3 linked regions of the Arabidopsis thaliana genome follow. The protein of the gene in region 1 interacts with the protein of each later gene in a pairwise test. Each region holds a gene or a part of one and is shown on either strand. Other genes may lie near its edges.

The links. The genes of interacting proteins can lie anywhere in the genome.
Region 2: the proteins of AT1G10585 (region 1) and ATAF1 interact in a two-hybrid assay, tested with the Arabidopsis thaliana proteins (one large-scale study listed by BioGRID).
Region 3: the proteins of AT1G10585 (region 1) and RD20 interact in a two-hybrid assay, tested with the Arabidopsis thaliana proteins (one large-scale study listed by BioGRID).

What each region holds. Positions count from the first base shown.
Region 1 is NC_003070.9:3,490,953-3,498,960, reverse strand, and holds AT1G10585 (basic helix-loop-helix (bHLH) DNA-binding superfamily protein), read left to right. Parts: upstream 1-3,716; 5' UTR 3,717-3,856; coding exon 3,857-3,994; intron 3,995-4,276; exon of another isoform or gene 4,277-4,305; coding exon of another isoform or gene 4,306-4,347; coding exon 4,348-4,665; intron 4,666-4,756; coding exon 4,757-4,846; 3' UTR 4,847-5,191; downstream 5,192-8,008. Other genes in the region: AT1G10586 (basic helix-loop-helix (bHLH) DNA-binding superfamily protein), read left to right, coding at 1,306-1,623, 1,762-1,830; AT1G10580 (Transducin/WD40 repeat-like superfamily protein), read left to right, coding at 5,296-7,010, 7,395-7,401; OTS2 (Cysteine proteinases superfamily protein), read right to left, coding at 7,859-7,960.
Region 2 is NC_003070.9:266,394-272,521, forward strand, and holds ATAF1 (NAC (No Apical Meristem) domain transcriptional regulator superfamily protein), read left to right. Parts: upstream 1-1,599; 5' UTR 1,600-2,077; coding exon 2,078-2,237; intron 2,238-2,323; coding exon 2,324-2,601; intron 2,602-2,689; coding exon 2,690-3,121; 3' UTR 3,122-3,426; downstream 3,427-6,128. Other genes in the region: AT1G01715 (uncharacterized protein), read left to right, coding at 124-331, 900-1,111; AT1G01725 (adenylosuccinate synthetase), read right to left, coding at 3,623-3,697, 4,229-4,342; AT1G01730 (uncharacterized protein), read left to right, coding at 4,609-4,896, 4,986-5,040, 5,148-5,479; BSK4 (kinase with tetratricopeptide repeat domain-containing protein), read right to left, coding at 5,718-5,969, 6,052-6,128.
Region 3 is NC_003071.7:14,142,129-14,148,416, reverse strand, and holds RD20 (Caleosin-related family protein), read left to right. Parts: upstream 1-1,861; 5' UTR 1,862-2,042; coding exon 2,043-2,145; intron 2,146-2,419; coding exon 2,420-2,569; intron 2,570-2,652; coding exon 2,653-2,738; intron 2,739-2,834; coding exon 2,835-2,929; intron 2,930-3,021; coding exon 3,022-3,147; intron 3,148-3,282; coding exon 3,283-3,433; 3' UTR 3,434-3,586; downstream 3,587-6,288. Other genes in the region: arpc2b (actin-related protein C2B), read left to right, coding at 1-21, 117-208, 296-352, 454-496, 596-813; AT2G33370 (Ribosomal protein L14p/L23e family protein), read left to right, coding at 3,773-3,785, 4,115-4,399, 4,481-4,522, 4,617-4,699; AT2G33360 (cadherin EGF LAG seven-pass G-type receptor, putative (DUF3527)), read right to left, coding at 5,547-5,723, 5,882-6,288. UniProt on the Arabidopsis thaliana protein: Probable calcium-binding peroxygenase. May be involved in the degradation of storage lipid in oil bodies, in abiotic stress-related signaling pathway and in drought tolerance through stomatal control under water deficit conditions.

The DNA of each region.
Region 1 (8,008 bases):
CATATCTATATATACATTTTTGCAGTCATTTTAACAAATAAATCCTGGACTTAGAACTTATTTACGACTCAATGCCACTGAATTTATTTTTTTCAATCGACATTTTAAATCAAATATTTACCTAACAAAAATATTGCCTAAAATGTCTCTATATTAAATCCACCATTACTTCAAAAAAAGTCTAACATTACTTCAAAAAAATCATTCCTAAAATCTCTCTTAAGTATTTATTAATTTTCGGTTTTAATTTGCTGCAAAAAAAAAATCGGTTTTAATAGTACAAAATATTTTAAGGTAGAATTTTCTTTCCATATTTATTTAATATTTCGTTTTTACAGCATTTAATATTTTGTTTATAAATAACAAATTAATTATTTAGCATTCAAGAAACTTTTTTCTAATCTATCCTTTAATTATATTGACATTATTGATTGATTTTTAAAATATATAGAGATTCAAATCTTCCATATATGTTTATCATCTTCTAAGGAAATTAAACAATTATTTTCTGAATCTAAACTAAAATTTAGAAAACTAAATAAATAAATAAAATCGTTTTAATTATTTTCTAAGCTAAACTATATTACACTATGATCTTTAGTTTTGAATCATTCATTTTCATTGTAATATAAAGAATCAATCTCATATTTTCCGTGTTATACAAATAATCAATCTCATATTTTCAGTTAGTAAAATGTACATGTATTAAAACGTAACAAAATCATCGTTCTCAAAACTATTTCAAATATATTACAATCTCATATATCACGCAGATTTCTTCAAAATTTGAACTAAATGTCGGTAACTATTTATAACAAAAAATGTTTGGCAAACCAAAATACAATTGCAATCCCTTAAAATGAGCAAAACGCACTTAAATACATTTTTTTATCAATTCACTAAATCTTATTTCTCCAAAATTTAAACTAGATTTCGGCAACTATTTAAAACAAAAATTGTTTGACAAACTAAAGTACAATTGTAATCCCGTAAAATATTTATTTTAATTATATATTTAAATCAACGATGTACTGTAGTTTTTTTTTACGGGACGGGTTTGGCGGGACGGGTTTGAAAGGACATTACTTAATAACAGTTGTAAACTGTAAAATAAATATATTTTATAGATAGATATAATTTACGAACTTTTATATATACTAATTTAAAAAAACAATTGTTCCCGCGGTGTACCGCGGGTTAAAATCTAGTATATTACATTTTAGTTAATACATATAACGATTATAACCAAATTCATACAAAAGACATGGAAGTAACTAGGTTGTGTGTTTTTATTGGCACCAACAGTTGCCAGTGCCTCAACTTATAGATCAAGCGGTATCATACATGATCCAACTGAAAGAGAAGGTAAACTATTTGAATGAGATGAAAAGGAGAATGTTAGGAGGAGAAGTCAAAAATCGCTCTGAAGGGTCGTCTCTTCTGCCAAAACTCAGTATTCGTTCACTGGATTCGATCATAGAAATGAATCTGGTTATGGATCTAAACATGAAAGGAGTAATGTTACACAAGCTTGTGAGTGTTTTTGAAGAAGAAGGAGCTCAAGTGATGAGTGCTAATCTTCAGAACTTGAATGATAGGACCTTTTATACAATCATAGCCCAGGTACATGCATGTGTCATGTTTTTTTTTTTTTTTTTAGCAGCATCTCTTTGTTCCATATCATTAAAATATAGTTTGAACTTTTTTTGAAGGACTATATATATATGATAAATTAATAATCACCTAAATGAATATTTGCAGGCTATCATATGTCGGATCGGGATTGATCCATCAAGGATAGAAGAGAGATTAAGGGATATAATCTCATGATTAATTTTTTGAAGCATTATTGAATCCCAAATCACAAGTCTTTTCTTAACAAATTAAATGTGTTAGTTCTTTAAACATGAGATTATGAGTATTTTTAAGAGTGAATTGGTGTAATAGCCCTATTGTTGTTTAAGTTAAAGAGAATGATCAAATGTCTGAATACCATTTCCTCAAGTATATGAACGAAAAAGCCTCTCACATCATCTTCAAAATCTCTTTATTTTCTCTTTTCTTTCTATGCCTAATCTCTATTACGTTTATAGAATCTCATGTTTAAATATAAAATATATTATCTACTTTTATTGTCAAGAACTCTCAAATTTTCTTTCATTGAGCATTTTAAGCTCAAATATTTTATTACAGGCGCCGTCTAAAATAGTCGTAATTGATATTTGCATACATAGAATAGATAGATGTTATGCATCTGATGACTATCTTCAAAACATGTTCAAGGGCATAGGCATTTGGATCCACTTTTGGAGTTTTTCATATTGCGATAGCAAGGACATTCATCTTTGTTTTCTCCTAAAATCACACATGGTTAGATTTTGTATGTGAATATAGTTAACTAAAACTTAAAAAACATGTATATATACACGACATAACTAGTAAACAAATCTTTTTTTCTAAATGTCTTATATAAATTGGACAGTATATATAGATCGATAACAAAAATTTCGCTACAAATTTTCTAACTATAAGTAATCATCCTTTTCTAGCCACAGAATTAGTTACAAGTAATTATAGGCTTAACATTTTAAAATTGGGCTAATCTGTATTTCTAGTCACGGATTTTCAATGGCTATGAATTATGATAGTTACCAAATGACTATTCTCTTCTTGTACGAATTCAAATATTTGAAGAAGGAAAAAAAGAATAACATGTGGAAAATGCAATAAGGATATAATTGTCCCTTACTCAGTTTCTAAGCAAGTGGTCAAGCAGCGAGACGATATATACACAGTGTTAGTATCATATTGCGGCTCCTTTTACTTTTTATGTCAGTTTGCTCAGTGGCAAAGTTATGACCAACATCTACCTGGAGTACTCCAAGACTCAACAAAACTAGGCATGTTTAATTTTCTGTCTTTGTATTCACCTCCGGTGAACGTTTAGACGATCGGTCCATGTAGATCCCCTATCCGGTGAACGATGTCGGCCATACGGCCAAAGAGAGTTGAGGGCCTTTAATAATTTATGTAAGGAATGCCGAATGTGTTGTGTCCTTTTCTTCTATGATAATGATAGCTTGTTGAATAATCTTAGGTTATGGCGCCTTATGATACTTTCCTCGGATAATGAATACGTGCACCAAATTAATTGAACATGATGATACTATTTGATTTAGTGGTCCCGATTCTATCAGTATACAAAACAATTTTCCTTTTCTATTTGTTGATAGAAACATATATAGTACTGTTGTAAGGAATTCATTTTTGTCTACCGTGGCTGTTGACTATTTTACGCCATTGAAATGATTTTTGATAATAATTTTCTCCAAACCTACTGTAAATCACAGGACTTAAACTCATGGTTAGTAATCTGAAAGAAGAAGAATCATATCTCTGAACGTTAGGAATCTCATCTCACACGGTAAGCATGATGCTATCTAAACTATGTCTTTGAACGTTAGAAATCTTACATCGAAATTATGATGCGTCCTAGTAATGTGTCAACCCACCAACAAATCTAATTTTTTTTTTAATGATAAACAACATATCTAATTGTTTTGAAACTTTTGTATCTTTAAGAACGTGGAAATTCCGAAGTAAATAGTAAAATTTACTTGGTAGGAAAGATGCATGCATCTTATTAATTTAGTGTGTAAGCTCACGGACGCAATCACAAAAGCCATGACTTTCTTCCAAAACATCCCTTTCATCTAAATCACGTAGCTCTTTCTCTCAAAGTTGAGATTTGTGACTCTGTATCTCCCGGCCCTCTCTATCTCTTTAACTGTATATAAAGAGAGATGGATTTGAAAAGAGAAACTTGTACATAAAAGCTTAAAAGAAAACAAAAAGAATGGGGAGAGCAAGAGAAATAGGAGAAGGAAACTCATCGTCGTTAAGGGAACAACGAAACCTCAGAGAGAAGGATCGAAGGATGCGCATGAAACATCTCTTCTCTATACTTTCTTCTCATGTTTCTCCCACTCGCAAGGTCCGTTTTTTCTCTCTAACTCTCCCTCTCTCTCTTTCTCTCTCTATATATATCTTATATTAAATTGTAGATGTGTTTTATGCGTATATACAACAATACAAACATTATCTACATAATTACTGTAAGATGTACGTTTTATTCTAAAGAGATAATATTTTGATTAATTGAATAGGCAGTTGTCCCTCTATGACCGTCCATATTAGCTCTCTTTTAAGTACGGTGTCTAATTGACAAATAAATGATTCACGTAGCTAGGGTTTTTACGGTTTATTTATATATATTGAATATAACCACATTCATGTAAAAGATTAATGAAAGTAATTATCTTGGGGTTTTTTTTGGGATCTAAACAGTTACCAGTGCCTCACCTTATAGATCAAGCGACATCATACATGATCCAATTGAAAGAGAATGTAAATTATTTGAAAGAGAAGAAAAGGACATTGTTACAAGGAGAACTCGGGAATCTCTACGAAGGGTCGTTTCTTCTACCCAAACTCAGTATTCGTTCGCGGGATTCGACCATAGAAATGAATCTGATCATGGATCTAAACATGAAAAGAGTAATGTTACACGAGCTTGTGAGTATTTTTGAAGAAGAAGGAGCTCAAGTAATGAGTGCTAATCTTCAGAACTTGAATGATAGGACCACTTACACAATCATAGCCCAGGTACCACATCCACACGCATATGTTTGTATAATACACACGTATATGCATGTGTCATGTCTTTCGTATAAATTTTTATTACATATATTTGCAGGCTATCATTAGTCGGATTGGCATTGATCCATCAAGGATAGAAGAGAGAGTACGGAAAATCATCTATGGATATATATATTTTGAAGCATGAAATCCCAAATGATAAGTCTACGCTAACGCTAGTGTGTTTTTTCACACATGTGTTAGTTCTTTAAATATGAGATGAGTAATTGCTTTTGAGTTCGATTATGATAAATATGTTGACCGTCAACATAAGAAACCTTAAAACGTTGTCGTTTCGTTTTTATTCATCCCGGTTTAATTCAGTTTGGCTTGGCGTGATTTTAGATTGGTCCAGATTTGCATAATTTTAACCACCGAGTAAGACAGTGGGATGTAAATGTCAATAAAATACACTATTGGGGTAAATGTGAAAAGAAAAAAATAGTAAGAGGCTATATTTGAAAATCTAAATATCGCACAAATTGCAACCCTTATTTTAGATTTAGGAATTTTGAAACCCTTGTCGAAGAGAAAAGAGGCAAAATCTCAGTATAAAGTTTCTCAAACACTTGTGGTAAGAGAGCAAAATCGTGAGAGATGGATCTGATTCAATCCTACGAAGAAGAAGACGAAGCCGTTGCTTCCTCGCCGGAATCTTCACCGCCTCGTATGTTAAAGGCGAAATCATCGGCGCCGGAGGTAGACGATACGGCACTAGCTCTCACGGTGGCTAACGTGAATCAATCGAAATCGAAGCCGATTGACCCGACTCAACACGTCGTCTTTTATAACCCTACCCATGATCAGCTGTGGGCTCCGATGTTCGGCCCCGCGCATCCGTATGCGAAAGACGGGATCGCTCAAGGGATGCGGAATCATAAGCTAGGTTCTGTGGAAGATGCTTCGATTGGATCGTTTGGGTTTGAAGAGCAGTACCATACGTTTCATAAGTGCGGTTACGCGGCGGATCCGTCTGGGATGAACTACGTCGGCGATGTTGAGGCGTTTAAGAAGAACGATGGTCTTTCGGTTTTTAATATTCCTCAGAGTGAGCAGAAGCGGAGGAAGATTGAGAGGAGCAAAGAGGAGAGGGAAGGGGAAGAGAAAAAGGAAGAGATTGAGCCGGAAGCTGAGAATCCGGAGACGGAAGCTTGGCTTAGGAAGAATAGGAAGAGTCCGTGGTCGAGGAAGAAGGAGGTGGTTCAGGGAGAGTTGACGGAGGAGCAGAAGAAGTATGCGGAGGATCATGCCAAGAAGAAGGAGGAGAAGGGACAACAAGGTGAAACCAAAGGAGAGCATTATGCGGATAAGAGTACCTTCCATGGCAAAGAGGAGAAAGATTATCAAGGAAGGTCTTGGATTGAGGCTCCTAAAGATGCTAAGGCGAACAATGATCATTGCTACATTCCAAAACGTTTGGTTCATACATGGAGTGGGCACACGAAAGGTGTTTCCGCTATTAGGTTCTTCCCAAAGCAAGGACATTTGCTTCTCTCTGCAGGTATGGATTGTAAGGTTAAGATTTGGGATGTGTATAACTCTGGTAAATGTATGAGGACTTACATGGGTCACGCCAAAGCTGTGAGGGATATTTGCTTCTCCAATGATGGGTCTAAATTCTTGACTGCTGGGTATGATAAGAACATTAAGTATTGGGACACGGAAACTGGCCAAGTTATATCGACTTTCTCCACTGGGAAGATTCCGTATGTGGTTAAGCTGAATCCGGATGATGACAAGCAGAACATTTTGTTGGCTGGTATGAGTGATAAGAAGATTGTGCAGTGGGATATTAATACGGGGGAGGTTACGCAAGAGTATGATCAGCACTTGGGGGCAGTTAATACTATCACATTTGTGGACAATAACAGAAGATTTGTCACGTCGAGCGATGATAAGTCTCTCCGTGTTTGGGAATTTGGGATCCCGGTGGTTATCAAGTATATCAGTGAGCCTCATATGCATTCTATGCCTTCCATTTCTGTTCACCCGAATGGAAACTGGCTTGCTGCACAGAGTTTGGATAACCAGATTCTGATCTACAGTACCCGAGAAAGGTTTCAGCTGAATAAAAAGAAGAGGTTTGCAGGGCACATTGTTGCCGGTTATGCATGCCAAGTTAACTTCTCGCCAGATGGACGGTTTGTAATGTCAGGAGATGGTGAGGGTAAGTGCTGGTTTTGGGACTGGAAGAGCTGCAAAGTGTTTAGGACTCTTAAATGTCACAATGGAGTATGCATTGGAGCCGAGTGGCATCCTCTGGAACAGAGTAAAGTCGCAACTTGTGGTTGGGACGGCTTGATTAAGTACTGGTATGTAACCTTCTTCCAGACTATTTTGTTTATTTGTTTCTCTTGTCATGATGTGTGGTGTGTGCCTTTACGTAACAGCTGCATAATAGTTATTATTGGTATATATAATTGTAGCAAAGCTAAAGTTGTCATCTGAGTATCCTTGCATGTAACATGTGTCTTAATTCTTTTGGAATCAGATATCGTATATTCCTAGTGTATGAGTAATACTTTGAGTTCACATCTGTGGAGTGATTTGGAAAGAAAGTTTGACTTTGATTCTAATGGTTTTTATTCATAAAGAAGTTGCGCAATTGTAAAATCTTTGAAAATTACCAGTCCATGTAACCATGTCGTAATCTCATGGCTAATGTTTGATTGTGATGTTTTGTTGCACATTTGCAGGGACTAAGACAAGCAGAGGCATTTCGGAGAAAGAGAGAGTAGAAGGCACAGAAATCACGGCCTAGCCTGGGCTATACGGAATGCTGCATCTTTGGGATACAAAGCCCCTTTGAGTTTTGCTTTCCGCTGTTTTAGATTCTTTAGTGTTGTATCAATCTCGGTTTAATGGATTATGTAGAGGGACGACCAAAACTATTTCAAATGCTTGAGAGAAACTGTTGACTGAATCGTTATAAAGATAGCTTGTAAGACTTGAAATTTTGCTAAAGCTGTGTTACTTTGCACCATTGCAGCAATGTTGGCTTTTTATTCGGATACGTTATTATTACCTTGTTGATTTGTTCTGATTATGTCATGCTCCTTAGTTTATTACAGGACTTGAACAAAATGATTGTTAACAAAAACGTATCTTTCATTTCATTCCTTAATTAGAGTGACCAAACTTGACACTGTTCTATACAGCTTTAATCTGTTTGGTTACCCTTGCGGAATAGATCAACGAGTATGTTCCAGATTTTGATCCTCAAAGCGGAAGCTTCTTCCGGTTTAAACCACTTCTTGTGAATCTGGAGATGAAGACAATACAACAAGTTCTGTTAACAGCAAATTGTTTA
Region 2 (6,128 bases), 3.2 Mb from region 1:
ATAGTTTTGTATCCATTTGTGATTTGCGGGTTTCTGTTGCCACCTCCCCACTCTCCTCGCTTTTGTTGGTCTTGGAAAAACCCTGGGATTTTGGGTATCTCTGAGCACGAATTCTACATTCTCATGGCTTTCGAACACAGAAATGAAGACCTAAATTCCTTGGATTCGGAAGAAGATCTGGAGAAAATGGAGTCAGAGGTGGAGCAAATGTCGCGCAAGGTTTCCGAGTACAGGAAAAGCCTACCGAGTAATCTGAGCAATTCTGTGATTTCTTCTCGTAGATCCAATTTTCCCAACATCGATTCTTTGGGCTTTCGCACAACTAGCACAGGTTCGTACGTTTCTTTGCTTATATTTAGTTAGATACCTTCCTTCTCCTTTGGTTTCAGCTGGAATTTTAGTCTCTTTTTCTTTCTAGATGATGTAATAATAGATTGATCCTCTACATTATTCGTGGATCATTCTTGTGAAGACCAAGTTGTTTAGCAGCAGCAGACTTGCCTTTTGATTGTGATGTCGTTTTTTGCATTTAGGTTTGTGTCATGCCATGCGTGTAGAATATTGTGATACTTGCTACTATACCCTCTGGATGATTATGTTCATGAGTTATTACGCTTAATTCTGAGGTGATGATACATATACAAGGCTTTTCCATTACAATAAATCATGTATTTTTGTGGCTTAGAATCGACAAGCATGAGACTATGTGATGATATGTTTAGCTAAGCTGAGAGAAAATGATTGTTTAGCCAATTTTTGTTTACAGATACCATGAGATAAGTGGCCACATTAGGTGACACTAAGATTTCATAGCATTGTAATATACACAAGTCTCTAGTGAACTGCTGTTGTGATAACCAACTCATCAGTTATTTTGTTCCTTGCAAGTTTGGAAGAACCTCTAGTGTCAAGAGATGGAGCACATATAGGTGGAATCGAACAAGAATCTCGAGATAGCCTGATTCAGCTCAAAGAAAGAGTGTACGAGAACATTGCCACAGTGCCTCTAGTTGTAGAGAGAATGCGAGAGAGTAAAGAGAGAATCGACAAGTCCATTTCTTTCAATGGAACTACTATGCACCCGGCTTTCACAAGGCGGAAAGCTAGCTAACTGATCAGTTTCTACTTCTCCCTATTGGCTTTACCACTCAAAGAAAGCTAATGCATAGGAGGAGATATGGCTGGTATTTCTTTCTACTATATTAGTATCAACCAACATCTCTCGCATTTAGAATAAGAGTATACCATAACCTCTGTTTTGATTGTGTTCTACATTGAAACAGGTCTTTCTCTGATTTTAATATGGACTCTTATAGAATCTTGGGCTGATTCTACACCCTGTATGTATATGTAAGAATCACATAATCAGATGGTTGCACAATTGTCAAGAACACCCAAATCCAAGCTTGCGATTTAGCAATCTCACCCGTGTAAGAAACTTAAAACCATAAAACCAATTGATATAAGAGCTTTTCTAGCAAAAACTTAAAAATATAATTAACACCGTCGAAAATGGTGGAGGCTACTAGAGCGAGATATAAACTTTATCACCGTTTAATCGTGTGGGATTTTGAAATGATATGAACCTATTGCAAAAAGACAAAAAAAAAATATAAACGGAGGAACTAGGCAGTGGGACCGGAGATCCACCGACCGGAAACGAAGAATCCATAGTAAGATAGAGCCCAGGGGTTCGGTCGTATCGGACCGGTCGGATTTGGATTCTAACGACAAGTGAGTGGACCCCCAGAAACGACAGACGTAAGCAATGACAACATCAAACTCATCGCCACGTCAGCAACGGAGTTCTACTTGCGAAACGTGTCCCGGCAGCGTCATCCACCCACGTGTGTTCTAGAAGCTCTTCTCCTCCTCCGTATCTCGACACGTGTCCACTCCCTCTCCTTATATAATTGACTTTTCTCTCATTCTTTCCAAGTTTCAAAAACGCCAAGTTTCAGAGGTAGAGAGAGAGATACTACAATTGATTAGGATAGGATCAGGATCATCCTCAACAACCTCCTCCTAATTCCTCCTCCATTCATAGTAACAATAATATTAAGAAAGAGGGTAAACTATGTCAGAATTATTACAGTTGCCTCCAGGTTTCCGATTTCACCCTACCGATGAAGAGCTTGTCATGCACTATCTCTGCCGCAAATGTGCCTCTCAGTCCATCGCCGTTCCGATCATCGCTGAGATCGATCTCTACAAATACGATCCATGGGAGCTTCCTGGTGACATACTAGCTCTCTTTCTCTTTAATCTTTGCCGGATTCTAAATCTGAGATTGTTCTCTGCTGACTCAAATTCAATTTTACAGGTTTAGCCTTGTATGGTGAGAAGGAATGGTACTTCTTCTCTCCCAGGGACAGAAAATATCCCAACGGTTCGCGTCCTAACCGGTCCGCTGGTTCTGGTTACTGGAAAGCTACCGGAGCTGATAAACCGATCGGACTACCTAAACCGGTCGGAATTAAGAAAGCTCTTGTTTTCTACGCCGGCAAAGCTCCAAAGGGAGAGAAAACCAATTGGATCATGCACGAGTACCGTCTCGCCGACGTTGACCGGTCCGTTCGCAAGAAGAAGAATAGTCTCAGGGTATGGAATCAGATCTGATTCACATCTTTGTTTCAATCTCTTGTTCTGTTTCTGGTAAATTGAATCAACGGTGTTGATTTTTGCCCAGCTGGATGATTGGGTTCTCTGCCGGATTTACAACAAAAAAGGAGCTACCGAGAGGCGGGGACCACCGCCTCCGGTTGTTTACGGCGACGAAATCATGGAGGAGAAGCCGAAGGTGACGGAGATGGTTATGCCTCCGCCGCCGCAACAGACAAGTGAGTTCGCGTATTTCGACACGTCGGATTCGGTGCCGAAGCTGCATACTACGGATTCGAGTTGCTCGGAGCAGGTGGTGTCGCCGGAGTTCACGAGCGAGGTTCAGAGCGAGCCCAAGTGGAAAGATTGGTCGGCCGTAAGTAATGACAATAACAATACCCTTGATTTTGGGTTTAATTACATTGATGCCACCGTGGATAACGCGTTTGGAGGAGGAGGGAGTAGTAATCAGATGTTTCCGCTACAGGATATGTTCATGTACATGCAGAAGCCTTACTAGAAGGGAATTCCTTTCCTGCCGCCGAAACGCAACGCAAAACGACCCTCGTTTTTGCGTTTATGGCAACACGAGACCGTTTTATATGGTCAATGAGTGTGCCGATTCGGCCATTAGATTTCTGTTCAGTCTTCGTTTATTCTATAGACCGTCCGATTTCAGATCATCCCTAATCGGACGGTGGTCGTTGGATGTATCAGTAGTGTATTACTGTGTTAGGTAGAAGAAAATCCACTTGTTCTTAAATTGGCATAAAAGTCAGAAGCTAATATTTATATGTGCCGCAATCAATTTAATATTTTCTGTCTACTTAGGAGTAATGGATACAAACTAGCGTATTGGTTCTATATTTATTTATCAGCTTTCACAGTTGATCTGACTTACATTTATTGTGAACATATCTAACAAGTGTAGAGGAGTAATGGATACAAGCTAGAGTACAGTGTGTTAGCAGAAACGCTATAAGATGAAGTCTGATGTTGAGCTACATGTTACTGTCCATTGTCACTTGTCGGACTTCTTTGATGGAAAGATGAACTCTTTCACGGAATCTTGCGCTGAAAGTATCCTCTGTCTGATCTGCATATGCAAAATGTCATAGATAATATAGAGTTAATTGGCTACAAAACCCCATCGAACCATAAGAAATTGATTTGGTGTTCAAGAGTAAATGAGTAATCAGTACTCTCAACATAGAGAGAGTAACAACAGACTAAAAACTCAGCAAAACAAAGTAGTCACTACTCATTCGTTGAAGATCCAGGCAAACGCAACAAAGCTGAGCATAGAAGTCAGGAACATTCATATCTCATTCAAAGTTTTCTAAGATCAAAATTCAACCCTAGCAACTAACAACTAATAAAGAGATCTAACCAATATCAATTGAAACCAAGTGATTGTAGGCTGTAGCAAATATCTGCGATTCGAAGCGATGATGATCGAGAAGGTTGACGGTTCGATTTATTAAACACAAACAAAAAAAAAAGAGAGAGAGAGAGAGAGAGAGAGAGAGAGAGAGAGAGAGAGAGAGAGAGAGAGAGAGAGAGAGAGAGAGAGAGAGAGAGAGAGAGAGAGAGAGAGAGAGAGAGAGAGAGAGAGAGAGAAACTCACAGGATCAAGAGCGTTGGGCTCTGGACCGTAATCAGCGGTTAAGAGGAAGTACGATACAACAGCAGTCGCCACCACACTGGTTACCTTCACCACCTTTTCAATTTGGGGATTCATCGATGTTTTCGTTCCCAGAAAGAACAATTCCGGTGATTTTGGTTTTTTTCAAGTGACACAATGATGATGTTATACGTTTTTTTATTGGTAAAACGACACACAATCCGATTTGTGTAAGAAAATTCATGCCGTTTTCGTTCACTTCAAATATGGGCCCAGAAAGGCCCAAACATCTCATCAAGTCCTCACGGCGTCGTTTTTAAGATCCCCGCTGCGTTGATTTATGGCGATCTCTTTCGGCGGTTGAAAACCTTTGAAAATTGAAAATGGAGAAATCGACCTCTCCGGCGACTCGAGTCACCGAACCTCCTCCTGCTGCTACTTCATCTCTTCCAGCACAAGCTCCTCCGCTTCCTACATCTGCAGATCAGAGATCAGCTGAGTTACCTTCGCCTGCTCAGCCAGCTCAGATGACTGCGCCTCCGTCGACAGTTACCACAGATCCGTCGTCCAGGGGAAGAAAGCGAGCGCTGGAAGCGAATCTTCAGATCGAGAGCTCCAACTACTACAAGATGCGTCTCCTTGTCAAAGATCTTCGCCCTCACGTTCTCGAGGTTGGACCATAATTGTGATAAAAACATTCAAACTCTTTGTTTGGGAAAGGGTTTATACATAACAACTTGGATTTTGTGGTGTGCTACAGGTTTTACGAACTCCAGACTTGAGGAACTCTAAGGCAGTTATCGAGATTCAAGAGAGTGAGAAGCTCTTACACTCTCTTCTTTTGTTATCTCAATTTTCACTTAGCTCAACAAAAGGCCCAACTTGTTTGATTCTGTGTCCCTTGAAATGATGATGTTTGCAGAGATGAAGCTTATGCTTCAACTGTACGAAGAGATGATTGGAGAGTCTCCCAAACGTGAGAAAACAGCTAAGAGCGACTCTTTATCCAACGGAAAGGCGACTACTACTACTACTACTACTACTAGTGTACTGAGATCATCTGAAACTGAGAAGCACAGCTCTGATGGAGATGGCGACAAGGTGGTTGGAGGGTCGGCATTTGGCTGGAACTTCATAACCTCTGGAGGGCCAGGCACTGAACCTGTTTATTCTGGAATGTCAAAGGAAGAATACAGAAGCTCTCACCCAATTATGCAAGTGGAGGCAGAGCTTGAGTTGCCCAACACATTCTAAGCTTTGTTAGTGGTGTTTGTATAATATTATTCACTTTGGTATCCGTTCATCCCAATGTTTTATATGTATCAACTGAAACAATGGATTAGCTTCTACCCATGAAGCCTTAATTAGTACACAATATGCTTAACATCTAAACCTTTTTTTTTACACAATATGCTTAATGAGACAGCACATTACCTTTGGATTGTTAATCAAAGCTTCTTCATCTTCTACCAAAACCCAAAATAATAAGTCTTTAGTTCTGTGTGGAAGCTGAAATCTTTCTGGCTTCAAGAATGGATCCTTCGGTAAGTGCGATTTGAGATTCCTTCTCCATTCCCAGGACAGAAAGAGCAGCAGACTGGAGATACAATGCAACATACCAAACAGGAGAAATGCCTTGAGCCTTCATTGCATCATCTAAAGCTTCTTTCGCCATGTTACTCATTAGGTAACTTTGACTTCGCCGCACCAAGACTGTTGCAGAGATCATTCCCAAATCAAGAAACTGGGACAATTTTTATAGACAGGGCATCATCAACTATGGAGGAAGGTCTTGTTACGGATTCAAGTGTGAAAGAAAGACATACCTGCGTGTAAAACTCAATGGCTTCACTAAAGTCTTTTCTTCTAAATGCAATATCACCTTTTTTCTTCGAGTTTATAG
Region 3 (6,288 bases), on another chromosome or scaffold:
ATTCTGGTTTTGTATCATTTGGTACGTTTTGTGTCATTTTATCTGTTTATAAAACTTAATCCAACATCTTTAATTAGTATTCTTAAATGTCAAAGTTCAAACAATTCTCATTGCAGATATTACTTCACGGCACATTGAAGGAAAGAGACTGGACAAAACGGTTTGGAACTTGCTAAATTTCTACGCATGCGCTAAGTACCATATTAAGGTACATTAGTTCTAGTTTTTCAAATAAAATATAATAGATTTTGTGTTCTTGTAATTGAAAATTTTCAACCTCGTATTGTTTAAATAGTGCTCGAGAGGGTACATACAGAGACGGATGAGAAAAAGAATGGAAACTTTAGTTAAGGTATTTTTATCATATATTACGTACACACACGAATCTACAACAATAGTTGACATTTCATAAACAAAATAACGTATGTTTGTAAATTTACATTATATACGTAGCTGCTAAATAACACAAGCCTAGAAGAAGAAGCTGCTCAAAATGGTATCCTTTTTTTTTGTTACCTTTAACCTTACTTAGGTTTGTATATATAAAAAAGTTATATTATCATTTTTTCTTTTCCATTCTCTAATTTCTATATAGAAAACGGAAGATGCAAATACGTAAAGGAGTTTGTGAAGGTACCAAAAGGTAAATTGATGATGAAACAAAGATGCAAGGAGATGACAAGGAGAGTGAAGATAAGCAAGTTCCGGATCAAAATCAACGGTTGTGCTCGGTTTCGATTCAATCAGCGGTGGATATCTCTCCCCAAATTCTCTTCGAAACCATCAGATAAATCATACACAAAATTGGACTAAGTAATCACTTAACTTGGAAAGTCTCAAGAAAGAGGCTCGGTGTTGTTGTTTTTTTTCTTTGTCAACATGCTTTAAAATTGAATTCGGGGAGCAATATTATACGTTAATGAATATCTTGACAACAAAAAAAAACGTTATCAGATAAACTTATGGATATAATTTGGTAAACCAAAAATAAACCTAATCAAAAGTTGGCATTGAATGCAGCATGTTACGTAAGAGCTTTGTACAAGTACCATTCACTCTTTTTACTTTTCAATGTATACAATCATCATGTGATAAAAAAAAAAATGTAACCAATCAACACACTGAGATACGGCCAAAAAATGGTAATACATAAATGTTTGTAGGTTTTGTAATTTAAATACTTTAGTTAAGTTATGATTTTATTATTTTTGCTTATCACTTATACGAAATCATCAATCTATTGGTATCTCTTAATCCCGCTTTTTAATTTCCACCGCACACGCAAATCAGCAAATGGTTCCAGCCACGTGCATGTGACCACATATTGTGGTCACAGTACTCGTCCTTTTTTTTTCTTTTGTAATCAATAAATTTCAATCCTAAAACTTCACACATTGAGCACGTCGGCAACGTTAGCTCCTAAATCATAACGAGCAAAAAAGTTCAAATTAGGGTATATGATCAATTGATCATCACTACATGTCTACATAATTAATATGTATTCAACCGGTCGGTTTGTTGATACTCATAGTTAAGTATATATGTGCTAATTAGAATTAGGATGAATCAGTTCTTGCAAACAACTACGGTTTCATATAATATGGGAGTGTTATGTACAAAATGAAAGAGGATGGATCATTCTGAGATGTTATGGGCTCCCAGTCAATCATGTTTTGCTCGCATATGCTATCTTTTGAGTCTCTTCCTAAACTCATAGAATAAGCACGTTGGTTTTTTCCACCGTCCTCCTCGTGAACAAAAGTACAATTACATTTTAGCAAATTGAAAATAACCACGTGGATGGACCATATTATATGTGATCATATTGCTTGTCGTCTTCGTTTTCTTTTAAATGTTTACACCACTACTTCCTGACACGTGTCCCTATTCACATCATCCTTGTTATATCGTTTTACTTATAAAGGATCACGAACACCAAAACATCAATGTGTACGTCTTTTGCATAAGAAGAAACAGAGAGCATTATCAATTATTAACAATTACACAAGACAGCGAGATTGTAAAAGAGTAAGAGAGAGAGAATGGCAGGAGAGGCAGAGGCTTTGGCCACGACGGCACCGTTAGCTCCGGTCACCAGTCAGCGAAAAGTACGGAACGATTTGGAGGAAACATTACCAAAACCATGTAAGTGTGAATGTCCAAATTTATGATTTTAATGTGTAACAAGCGGGAAATTAAGTGGTTACGTTAAATGAAACTACAAAAACATCCAACTATTAACATGACAAATCGTATATTATCCATTTTTAAAAGTTATGGTGAGGACATGAACATGTTTCAAATTAAGTGTACCTTTCAAGATTTGTAGTGTTCAACACAAGTCACAATAACTTAAAGAAAAAATGTAATTTTCTTGAAAAAGATACATAATAATCTAACGTACAAAAATGAAAAACAGACATGGCAAGAGCATTAGCAGCTCCAGATACAGAGCATCCGAATGGAACAGAAGGTCACGATAGCAAAGGAATGAGTGTTATGCAACAACATGTTGCTTTCTTCGACCAAAACGACGATGGAATCGTCTATCCTTGGGAGACTTATAAGGGTAATTATTACTTGTTATAGTCTCTTCAAAGACTTCAATCTTCAGAAAAAAAAAAAATTCAAATAATTGTATAAAAATTGCAGGATTTCGTGACCTTGGTTTCAACCCAATTTCCTCTATCTTTTGGACCTTACTCATAAACTTAGCGTTCAGCTACGTTACACTTCCGGTATGGAAAATAATCCAGAGACCCTTCGAATTTAATTTGAATTTTATTATTATTTTGTGATTTTAATTTATGTTGTGATCAATTTTATGTAAAAAGAGTTGGGTGCCATCACCATTATTGCCGGTTTATATCGACAACATACACAAAGCCAAGCATGGGAGTGATTCGAGCACCTATGACACCGAAGGAAGGTAACATTAACATATATGTAAAATATAATATCCAATAATTTTAAATAGAATTTTCATGATACTCAATTTTGTAAAATTGCGATTGTTTATAGGTATGTCCCAGTTAACCTCGAGAACATATTTAGCAAATACGCGCTAACGGTTAAAGATAAGTTATCATTTAAAGAGGTTTGGAATGTAACCGAGGGAAATCGAATGGCAATCGATCCTTTTGGATGGTTAGTACTAAAAACATTATTGGTTATTAGTTGATTTTTTTGAATGAAATTTATTAGTTGATTTTACATACACGGTAATAAGTTAACACTAAATCCTAACGAAATCTGCTAAATTTGTTGTGTTGGTTATGGCAGGCTTTCAAACAAAGTTGAATGGATACTACTCTATATTCTTGCTAAGGACGAAGATGGTTTCCTATCTAAAGAAGCTGTGAGAGGTTGCTTTGATGGAAGTTTATTTGAACAAATTGCCAAAGAGAGGGCCAATTCTCGCAAACAAGACTAAGAATGTGTGTGTTTGGTTAGCGAATAAAGCTTTTTGAAGAAAAGCATTGTGTAATTTAGCTTCTTTCGTCTTGTTATTCAGTTTGGGGATTTGTATAATTAATGTGTTTGTAAACTATGTTTCAAAGTTATATAAATAAGAGAAGATGTTACAAAAAAAAAAAAAAGACTAATAAGAAGAATTTGGTATTGTTCATTTCATGATTAAAATGGTTCATGGGCTATCATGGGCCTAAAAGGCCTTTTCCATAGGTTTAAACCCTAATCCTTTCTTCTCCTTCATTTTTCTACTTCGATCAGACGCCAAACATCAGAAGCCCTAGAGCTTGAGCCGTCGAAAATGTCGAAGCGAGGTATGTCTTTTTCGATTCCAAGCCTTCTTCTTTCGTAGCTGTTGCAATTTAGTATAATTTGTTTTTGAAGCTTCCATGGCTGTTAGATTTAATAATAATTGAAATCAATCTACTACTCTCAGTATAGAATGCTCGAAAGTTTGAACCTTTGATCTCGATTTCTTCAATTCCAAGTAATATGATCTGATGTATTCATCTAGACAGCTCATTAACAACATTTGATATCAAAAATATTGAATTTGAGACTTGATGTTATTGAAAACAGAAAAGGTAAATGTTTTTGAGCATTGTTCTAATGGTGCTTGTGTTTTGTTGTTTGATTTGATTAGGACGTGGAGGAACGTCTGGTAACAAATTCAGGATGTCACTTGGTCTGCCCGTTGCAGCCACAGTGAACTGTGCAGACAACACTGGTGCTAAGAACCTTTACATCATCTCTGTTAAAGGAATCAAAGGTCGTCTCAATCGGTTACCTTCTGCTTGTGTTGGTGACATGGTTATGGCCACTGTCAAGAAAGGTAAACCAGACCTCAGGAAAAAGGTTCTTCCTGCTGTGATTGTTAGGCAACGTAAGCCATGGCGCCGAAAGGACGGTGTTTTCATGTACTTTGAAGGTAATTTTGCATACCTCAACAATTTCTCGAGTTGAAGTTTATGATCATGAGATTGGTACTGATTCGGTTCTTGGATCGTAGATAATGCTGGAGTGATTGTGAACCCTAAGGGAGAAATGAAAGGTATTAGTTTGTTTATTCCATTAGTTCTTTGTCAAACATATCTTGGCAGTACATTGTTTTCTGAAACATGTTGGTGGTTTGTTTTGGTTTTCAGGTTCTGCAATTACTGGACCTATTGGGAAAGAGTGTGCGGATCTCTGGCCAAGGATTGCTAGTGCTGCTAACGCCATTGTCTGAAGATCATTTATCACTTTTGCTGGTTATGTATCTGTCTTCAACGAAACGCGAAATAGTTGGTGTTTTGAGTGTTTTAAGTAGAGACGACAATCTTTTGTGAGCTTCAGACATATTTCCAGTTTCTAAGAGATTTTGCTTAGATTTTTCCAGTTTCTGATTTTGTGAAAATCAATTGCTCAGAGGTGACTATTAATAGGTCATAAAAATGAGTTATAAAGTCGAAAATTATGTGCAGAAGAAACTCTTACAAAACCAGAATATCATGAAGGTGAAAATTTGGAGGCAGCGAAATCATGTGGTCTACAATATTTGGAGGCAGCGAAATAATCTGCTTCACAATCTTCAGCGTCTTGCTCCGGCCCTCATCTTCAAGTTCATTGACCGCGAGATTCGAAACATCATCACCTCGAGAAGGCACCGGGCGCGTTGGCGGTCGTTAATGCTTCTTTGGATCCGTTAATCCACCCAAATCTTACGTAACTCTATTGTAATCTTGTTTTACTTTTTTGCCAAGATTGCTTTGGTTTGGTTTTGCTCTGTAAAATCACATTGTTCATTCTAATGATATTAACAAATTTAGCAAAAAAAAAAAAAATCATGAAGGTGAAAATCAAAAGTCAGAATTTACATTTTACACAACTCTTTGAAAAACAATACCAAAGCCCACATATGATTCCAGTAAAGAGACAATGATATACTTTCTATAGATTTAAACAGAAAGCCAAAAAATAAAAAAATAAAAATAATATCTACTAATTTGTAGATATTGTTAACTCAAGAACCCAACTAAAAACTATGAAGGCTGAGTTTTGCCCATCTTACTTTGTGCAATCCTTTCTTTTGCTAGTTAAGCTTCTGTACACTTCTTTGACGACCATGGCCGGAGTCTCTGGCTTTGGCTATGAATGTATGCTAAAGCAATTGAAAAAGATTGCAAAACTGATATCTTTGCTTGAGACTGGACAAAGTAGAGACCATCTCGAACATTCATGATCCTTAGTCCAGGACTTCCCTGCATCAATCCCTGAAACGAAAACACACAACGAATCAATCGAATTTCAGAGTCAATATGACCAAGACTGATTTTTTAGTTGATGAGTTATCTTGAATGCAAGAAAGTTTCCATTTTTTGAAATCTATGATGTATGGTTAAGGAAGTGGTAACTGGATCTTGAATGCTACCTCTGTGAAAAGCTCAAAAAGATTGCATTGGCCTTCACTTTGGTCTTTTCGCGCTTGGCCTTTAAGGACGGTTAAGGGGCAACCCAAGTCCCATCCAGAGCAATCACAGCATCCACCGGATTTCCATCTCTGAATCAAGCTCGAAGGACCACCGTTTCTATTTCTCGGCCCTCCGTGAATCCCTAAAGGAATCACAACATCTATGCTTGTGGAATGCTTAGAACATTTAGAAGCATCCTTGGTTCGAGCTAAGGGAATTTTCTTGAGAAACTTCATGCCCCAGCCTCCAACTTTTTCGACTTCTTCTTCTTCTTCTTCTTCCACTGGAAACTGTTCTCTCACAACAACAGCTGAGGTTTCAAGATTTGGTGGAAGGTCATTATCCAGTAAACTTATGGGTTCAAGAT